2 linked regions of the Callithrix jacchus genome follow. The protein of the gene in region 1 binds, or shares a complex with, the protein of each later gene. Links are inferred from orthologs where the notes say so. Each region holds a gene or a part of one and is shown on either strand. Other genes may lie near its edges.

Evidence for each region.
Region 2: the proteins of SKP1 (region 1) and BTRC are in contact, whole or in part, in a crystal structure (PDB 1P22), measured with the Homo sapiens proteins. The link is inferred for Callithrix jacchus from reciprocal best matches to the Homo sapiens genes SKP1 and BTRC. Residues at the interface, in NP_733779.1 of Homo sapiens: Asn51, Ala53, Ile54, Val95, Asp96, Gln97, Gly98, Thr99, Leu100, Phe101, Ile104, Leu105, Asn108, Leu116, Asp117, Cys120, Lys121, Val123, Ala124, Ile127, Lys128, Gly129, Pro132, Ile135, Arg136, Lys137, Thr138, Phe139, Asn140, Ile141; in NP_378663.1 of Homo sapiens: Met175, Leu176, Gln177, Arg178, Asp179, Phe180, Ala183, Leu184, Arg187, Leu189, His191, Ile192, Ile196, Leu197, Tyr199, Leu200, Asp201, Ser204, Cys206, Ala207, Ala208, Glu209, Leu210, Val211, Cys212, Lys213, Glu214, Trp215, Tyr216, Arg269.

The regions. Positions count from the first base shown.
Region 1 is NC_133503.1:74,176,177-74,180,538, forward strand, and holds part of SKP1 (S-phase kinase-associated protein 1), read left to right. Parts: intron 1-2,407; coding exon 2,408-2,548; intron 2,549-3,529; coding exon 3,530-3,565; 3' UTR 3,566-3,591; exon of another isoform or gene 3,592-4,362. UniProt on the Homo sapiens protein: Essential component of the SCF (SKP1-CUL1-F-box protein) ubiquitin ligase complex, which mediates the ubiquitination of proteins involved in cell cycle progression, signal transduction and transcription.
Region 2 is NC_133513.1:94,482,808-94,487,169, reverse strand, and holds part of BTRC (F-box/WD repeat-containing protein 1A), read right to left. Parts: intron 2,732-4,362; coding exon 2,635-2,731; intron 1,670-2,634; coding exon 1,532-1,669; intron 1,020-1,531; coding exon 901-1,019; intron 1-900. UniProt on the Homo sapiens protein: Substrate recognition component of a SCF (SKP1-CUL1-F-box protein) E3 ubiquitin-protein ligase complex which mediates the ubiquitination and subsequent proteasomal degradation of target proteins. Recognizes and binds to phosphorylated target proteins.

The sequences.
Region 1 (4,362 bases):
GCTGGGATTATAGGCGTGAGCCACCGCACCCGGCCTTGTTTTTTTTTGAGACGGAGTCTCGCTCTGTCGCCCAGGCTAGAGTGCAGTGGTGTGTTCTCGGCTCCCTGCAAACTCTGCCTCCCAGGTTTAAGCAGTTCACTCCACCTCCCAAGTAGCTGGGATTACAGGTGTGTGCCACCGTGCTTAGCTAATTTTTGTATTTTTAAGTAGAGATGGGGTTTCACCATGTTGGTCAGGCTGGTCTCAATCTCTTGACCTTGTGATCCACCTGCCTCAGCCTCCCAAAGTGCTGGGATTATGGGCATGAGCCACCATGCCTGGCATCTGGTAAGTTTTTTTTAACATATAAAATAGCTCTATTCCAGAGCCTTTAAATATTACTTCTTACAGATTTAAAATTTGCTAACTTCATTGACACTGAATTTTAATACTCTGAATTAAAATGTAATGCCATATTTAAATCCACATATCAGTAACACACTAAATGTAAATGGTCTAAACACAGTTAAAAGGCAGAAATTAACAGATCAAAAAAGCAAGATTAGCTATGCTGTCTGTAAGAAACCCACTTTAAGGAAATAGACACACCTAGGTTTAAAGAATGAAAGAAGGTAAACTATACTGACATGAATCAAAAGAAAGCTGGAGTGACTATGTTAAAATAGATGTGGAGGCAAAGAATATTACTAGGGTTAAAGGGGATTATTTTGTATCGTTAAGGGGATCCATTTTTTAAGAAGACATAACAATCATAAATGTTTATTTGCCTAGAAGAATTTCAAGAAGTGAAACAAAACCCAGAAGAACTCAAAGAAGTCCACAAATTTGCAGTCATAGAGCTTTCAGTACCTCTCTCAATTAATATAACAAGTAGACAGAAATCATGATAACTTGATATAACACTATTGACCAACTTAATGGACATTTATAAAACATTTTATCTATCTATATCTATATATTATGTATCTGTTTGAGACAGTCTCACTCATCACCCAGTCTGGAGTGCAGTGGTGCAGTCTCTGCTCACTGCAACCTCTCCTCCCGAGATAAGTGATTCTCCTGCCTCAGCCTCCTGAATAGCTGAGATTACAGCCACCTGCCACCATGCCCAGCTAATTTTTTGTATTTTTAGTAGAGACGGGCTTTCACCACATTGGTCAGGTTGGTCTCGAACTCCTGACTTCAGGTTATCCACCTGCCTTGGCCTCCCAAAGTGTTGGGATTACAGGTGTGAGCCACTGTGCCTGGCCTAAAACATTATATGTAACGATAGCAGAATACATATCCTTTTCAAGTGTATATTACCAAGATAGACCGTGTTCTGGGCCATAAAACAAGTCTCAGCCTGGAACAGTGGCTCACACCTGTAATCCCAATACTTTGGGAGGTCGAGGCATGTGGATCACTTGAGGCCAGCAGTTTGAGACCAGCCTGGTCAATATGATGAAACCCCTGAATTAGCTGGGTGTGGTGTCACACACCTATAATTCCAGCTACTTGGGAAACTGAGGCAGGAGAATCGCTTGAACCTGGGAGGCAGACGTTGCAGTGAGCCGAGATTGCACCACTGAACTCCAGCCGGGTGACAGAGTGAGACGGTGTCTCAAAAAGAAAAATCTCTATCATAAAAGGATTTACGCCATACAAAGTATGTTCTCTGCAATGGAACTAGAAATCACAAACAGAAAGGTAACTGGAAAAATCTGCAGCTTCTTTAAAACTAACACATTTGCAAATAACCTGTAAGTCAAAGAAGAAATAAAAAGAATTTGTATTTTGAGCTGAATAGAAATAAAACACATGAAAAATCTGTGAGATGCAGCAAAAGAAATACTTAGAGGGAAATTGATAGCATGAAATACCTATATTATTAGAAAAGAAAAGTTTCAAATCAGTGATCTAAGCTTCCACCTTAAGAAACTAGTAAAAGATGAAATTAAATACAAAGCAAACAGAAGAATTAGAATATATAAGGGCAGAAATCAGTGAAATAGAAAATAGGTAATAAAGTCAGTGAAACCAAAACCTGTTTTTAAAAATCAGATCACTAAATATAATGCTATAACTGCTTATTGAACTCTTTAAGTGTGGACAAATATTTTTGTCAAGATCTGATGTGGTATTTGTCAAGATCTGATGTGTGTCTGTACACACATACACAACAGTAGTGGCCATTAACATTTGAGCTAATACAGTTTGGTTAAGGAAGCAGAAGGATTCAGCATCATAGAGATGTAACAAAGGTCACATAAAAGTCTTTCATGGAGGAACTTATGAGTGATTTATTCTTCTCCCTTTAATAAAATTATCATTTTAAGCTTTATTAGACATGGAGTTTCAATCATTAACTTTAGATTTAGTTTAAAACATCAAGTATACTTTAAGGAAAACAACTATCTCTTTACAGGCTGCAAACTACTTAGACATCAAAGGTTTGCTTGATGTTACATGCAAGACTGTTGCCAATATGATCAAGGGGAAAACTCCTGAGGAGATTCGCAAGACCTTCAATATCAAAAATGACTTTACTGAAGAGGAGGAAGCCCAGGTAGGTGGCACACAGTTTTGTCTCTGATCGCATGCTCTTAAAAAGGGACTAAAGCCTGTAATACACCAGAAAAGAGGTGACTGTATCAAGTAGTCTTGATACTTGAGGGATACTAGGTAGTTTCTGTGTCTTAAACATACTCTTACTGTACTGTCTGTATGAGTCTAAACACTTACATGATACTGCATTTTTTTTTTTGAGATGGAGTTTTGCTCTTATTACCCAGGCTGAAGTGCAATGGCGCGATCTCGGCTTACCGCAACCTCCGCCTCATAGGTTCAGACAATTCTCCTGCCTCAGCCTCCTGAGTAGCTGGGATTACAGGCTCGTGCGACCATGCCCAGCTAATTTTTGTATTTGTAGTAGAGACAGGGTTTCACCATGTTGACCAGGATGGTCTCCATCTCTTGACCTCGTGATACACCCACCTCGGCCTCCCAAACTGCTGGGATTACAGGCGTGAGTCACTGCGCCCGGCCGATACTGCATTTTTAAGCATAAGAACAATTAGTTTTCAACAAGAGGAGCTCTTTCTTGTAAATGTGTTAACAGTTACTAGTTCTGGCATCTGCAGCTTTTTGTATAGACCATACATATCTGACTTCAGAAAAGCAGGCCCTAGAGAAGTGTATGCTAGGGCACTTGAGAGCAACTTAATGAGGGGAGGAAATGAAAAAATAGATCAGAATGATTTTGTTGACATGACTACAGACTGAAATTGTGTCAGTTAACTAACTGAATTTGCTCTGTCAACTTTAGTAAACTGCCCATTGTCTTTATTTTGTTCAGAATTTCAGCAGGGCAGAATAAAAACCTTGGGAGGCAAAAAAAGGAAATCCAGAAGTGTAGTCTCAGTCTGGTGTTCTGATTTTCCATCTATTCTACTGACTCACTGGCTATCGATGAATCAGTAGGTAGTATATTTAAGTCTTAGGAAACACTACTAAAGTTAAGGTACTTCCTTATATCCATCTCTTTTAGGTACGCAAAGAGAACCAGTGGTGTGAAGAGAAGTGAAATGTTGTGCCTGACACTGTAACACTGTAAGGATCGTTCCAAGTACTAGTTGCACTGCTCTGTTTATAATTGTTAATATTAGACAAACAGTAGACAAATGCAGCAGTAAGTAAATTGTATTAGCAGAATATTGTCCTCATTGCATGTGTAGTTTGAGTACAGATTCCAAATCTATGGCTGAGTTTCTTCTAATATGATTGAAAGTTTCTTTTTTCTTTGCTCTGAATAAAACTGAACTGTGGGTTCTCTATAAGTGGCATTTTGGGCTTTCCCTCTTTTTTGTAAAGCAGTGTCTGCCTAGTTTATTGTCCAGTTAACTTTAGTGACCTTTTAAAAGTTGGCATTGTAAATAAAACAACCTGCAAAAAAGTTATCTGGAATAGAATTAACAAAATATTATCTTTATTCATGAGTTGGAAACTGCAAAAGGCTTCTTGAAGTAAATGTTCTGAGTGGAGTTACTAGGATGTCTTTCAGCCTCCTGCAGGCAAGGAGTACCACCATATTGATTAGCCTGTATTTAGCAGGGCTCCTCCCTTCATTGCATCTGAGGACTTGTCTTCTTTTTCTTTAATTTTATTTTTAATCCTCTTAGCTTTAAATATATTGCCTAGAGACTCAGTTACTACACAGTTTGTGGTTTTTTGGGAGAAATGTAACTGGACAGTTTGTTAGCTTTTCAATTAAAGACACTTAACCTATGTGGGATGTCATCTTTTTATAATCAGTGTTCCCATGTGGGGAAAATTATTCACACTACTTGCATGTAAAAATAATTTAACTTTTAACATTAAAAT
Region 2 (4,362 bases), on another chromosome or scaffold:
CCCCTTTTATGGAATATCATTTTTTCTTTATCTTATAAATGATGTTAGCATCTACAGTATTTCAGATTCAGTGAGGCACTTGCTCCACAAGCACCAATAAATGTTAAATGTCAATAATTACACGGACCGAGTTTGCTATGCCTTTAAGTCAAAAGACAAAAACCACAAACAGTCTTTTCTATTCACAGAGGATAACTTGGAATGGTAAACATTTAACTTCAGAGTATCGAACAATGCAGTTAACTGCTTTTTTTCCTAGGTTTATTTTTTTTTAAAGTTACTTTTGATGCATTATGTTTGCTAAATACTTCAGCTTAAGGCAAAATTCCTAACAGAAGTTCCCAGCAGTGCTGCTGGTACCCAGAACTCAAGCTATCCTGGACTCCAGCAGTATAATGGCTGTGTCATCAAATCACTAACGCCTCTGGAAATTGAGGGCCCCTCCCTGAGTGAAGCTCGCAATTAAAAACTGCAGGGACGGCAGGGGAGGAGCTGACAAAGAGCACAGCTCACCTGTACATGTTTCAAAGGAGATAATACAGACCTGCACTACAGTTACAACCACCTAAAAGGACGGCTTCATTACATTCATGTCATTCCCCTGTGAGGTGGTTTTTATAATGCAAGCCTTACCATAAGGATAAGAAAAGTTTCTGTGATAGATGATTCTCCAAATTAAAATAGAATGTGTAGTTTCTTAAACGTGCGAAAATGTTAACTTACCTCAAGCATTCCTAAATCAAGTTTTCTAGTTCTAGACTGACACAAATGATGGGGACTCGGTGGTATATTCTTCTTTAGTTTCAGAACTGTGCCGATATATACAAAATTACTATCTATGACAAAGAACAGAGCAGAGCTGATGTTTCAAAGTTCAAAAGAGCATTTGAAATTTTCTACCTGACTGTGGAATCCGATGATCCGGTTATGATCACTCTTTCATCATACTGGAGACACAGGACAGAACCTGTATGGCCTGTGAGAATTCGCTTGCATTCCAATGTGTTTTTATCCCAGATCTAGGATGGCAAATAAGATCCTTTTGATCAATGTCATGATGGGGTGCTGTGGAGACTTGTTGGTCCTATTATGTATTTGATCTCCCAAAATAATCAAAGCCCATAGTAGTGTGGAATGCATTCTTTCCTATAAGTATAGCTAAGCGCGCGCGCATGCGCGCACACACACACATACATACATACATATACGGCTTCAGTACTAATACAAACCTTTATCCTTTTAATTAGAGAACAGAGTAGCCTATAATTATGTGAGGGCCAAAAGAGTAATAGCCCATTCAGTTCATTTCAAGAAGAGAATTTAACCCTAGAGACTTCCTATTTGTATAGTATTCTAGGGGGAAGCAGATGTCTGTCCTTTAAGGAAATGATTTTGGCTTTGGGACTGGAAACAATCTAAAATCTTCACTTACTTTCTAGAAATAATGCTTAGAGTTTATGCTGTGGACTGTGTTATGAATGTGGTCACCCTTGCTCCCTCAGCTACCTTCCTACAACTGAACAGACCTCACCTTGATTGTGTTGTCTCGAAGGCCGCTTACTATTTTCTGATCATCATACTGTAAACAGTAAACTCCTTTGCTTGTTTCACTTCGGCAGTGGATTCTCTGTAAACTATGTCTTCCACATCTCCAATTAGATTCTATTGTCTGAGAAGACAGAAAGGTAAAGAGGCAGTAATTAGGAAACGCCTAAAACCAAACCCTTTTTGGGCTTTAATGGCAATCAATGACTTAATGCTTTACTCTGTGGGAGATACATCGCTTAGGGAAAACTAAAAAATATCTATTAAAAAAGCTACTATCTAAATTTATAAAGTATTTTTCCTTTTGCAAGGTAATTAAAGATTTTTTCTAGAACCCCCTCCTGCATATCATTTGTTCAATTAAATAATAAATCTGGTGGGAAGAGATGACTCATCAAGAGAAGAAAAGCTATGAACTATGTGAGGTTATATGTTCAGTGCTCTTACATATGCGATGGCCATCACTACCGATGAACTTCTATGGCGGCTGAATTCAGAAGATATTTAAATATGAGCTTATGGGTACTAGTTTCCCAGTCACACTGCTATTATATGAAGGGATCAATCTCTTTAATTCTCTTTCATCTATTAGTAAACAATTTTTTAAAGCTTTAAAATTTTGCCTAGCAATTTATTTTACCTACCCTACTTAACTATAAAGAAATTGATTTTCTTTTTCTTTCTGTTTTTTTCTGAGACAAAGTCTCACTCTGTCATTCAAGCTGAAGTGCAGTGGCAGGATCTTGGCTCACTGCAACATCTGCCTCCCAGGTTCAATCAATTCTCCTACCTCAGCCTTCTGAGTAGCTGGGGTTACAGATGTGTGCCACCATGCCTGGCTAGTTTTTGTATTTTTAGTAGAGATGGCGTCTCATCATGTTAGCCTGGCTGGTCTCGAACTCCTGACTTTAGGTGATCCACCTGCCTTGACCTCCCAAAGTGCCGGGATTACAGGCGTGAGCCACCACGCCAGCCAAGAGGTTGATTTTCAACTCACGTCAATAAACCTTAATGGGCTTGGTGTAACCATACTGCAACTGAAGAAAGATGTACCATTTGGAAAATACCCCAAAATACACAGATTCTTACCTCAATGTCTTGTATAATTTTAGGATAAAGTGCTCTATAAAAAGAGTTGGGAGGAGTATTCCCATCAGGAGGTTTGTTTTTGAATAAATACTGTCCCCTAAAAAAAAAAAAAAAAAATATTTCCCAATGAAAATCATGACATTAAATATTTACTTATTTATTTATTTTTTGAGACAGAGTCTTGCTCTGTTGCCCAGGCTGCAGTGCAGCAGTGTGATGTTGACTCACTGCAACCTCCACCTCCTGGGTTCAAGCAATTCTCCTGCCTCAGCCTCCTGGTAGCTGCAATTACAGGCGTTTACTACCAAGCCCGGCTAATTTTTGTATTTCAGTAGAGATGGGGTTTCACCACGTTGGTCAGGCTGGTCTTAAACTCCAGGCCTCAAATGATCCGCCCGCTTGGCCTCCCAAAGTGCTGGGATTACAGGCATGAGCTACCATGCCCAGCCAACATATATGTAAGGAGCTTCATACATTTTCAAAGTGTTTTCACAGTTACCATCCTATATACTCTCCAAAGCTGCCTGGGGAGGTCCAAAAGTAATCTTGATTTCAGCCTTCTGGTATCTAAGGAATCTGCCTAACATTGATTTGCTTTTGGGTAAAACATTATTTCCAGTGTAGAACATTGGAGTACCAAACCTTTAGGAATATTATGAGTAGACAAATGGAATATGTATAATCAGAATTCATCTACTGGTCTATTAAGACTACTGCATAGATTCACTGGCCTCATCTTTTGGAAATTTTGTTGGTAATGGTAACTATTACCTTTGAACTAGCACATACCCCATAGTCTTTTTTTTTAACTATGTCAGTGGACCCCTGCATTGCAGACAACAGTAATGCCTGTAATGGAGATCACTTCTTCTAGGTCTTTATTTGTGTGGGGTAAGATGTGGTGGCTGCTCAGTCACCCAGGCTGCTGCTGATCAGTGCAACTATTCTTTGAAATGAGCAATTCAGTTCATTTCAACAGAAAGCAAAAGGATCACAGGTGTGTCCAGTGGCAGCTAGGGAAGAAGATAAATAGAAATGCCTAAGAGCACTGTGCTATCAAGTCTAAGGCATGAAACTGACTTTCACAGGTGTGTTCCTGGCTGTGTACATACATACATGTACTTAACTGCCTTCCCTGATTCCAGTGAGCAGCATTTGTTAGTATCTCCTTCCTTATGACAGCACATCTCTGGAATACTCATATCCCAAGCTAGATCTTTGCTACAAAAAAAATCAGTAAATGGCAATCACTTCCTGCTGGGTAAAAAATTTAATTCCTCATCCTGAAGTTAAGAACCCACCAAACACGGTGTGGAAGCTAGTAAACCCCACTATGGGTGTACTAACTGCTGTTCTCACTGGCACCGTGCCTTGCAAAGTGGAGATAGACAGAAATGCCTCTGAGTGTAATCCTGGCACCAGAGAAATCACGTTTTCTCAGGGCCAGTCATCCACTCCTCCCTCTATAGCTCCATTACGATGTAATTAATTGTTTGGTGTCTCCAGGAGTGCTTCTCCCCTGCCCTCTCCCTATTATACACCTTGAAAATTAGTTGAGAAAATTTCCTATCAGGAAGGTAGCTGGCTCTAAGTTCTATGTTAATACAGAAAAGAAAATCTGAAATAGAGCAGAGAAAATACTACTTATAAAAAGGGGGATTAATGAATGAAACATGATACACCAGCATAAACCAAAGGTCAAACAAGATGCATTATAAAATAATTTTG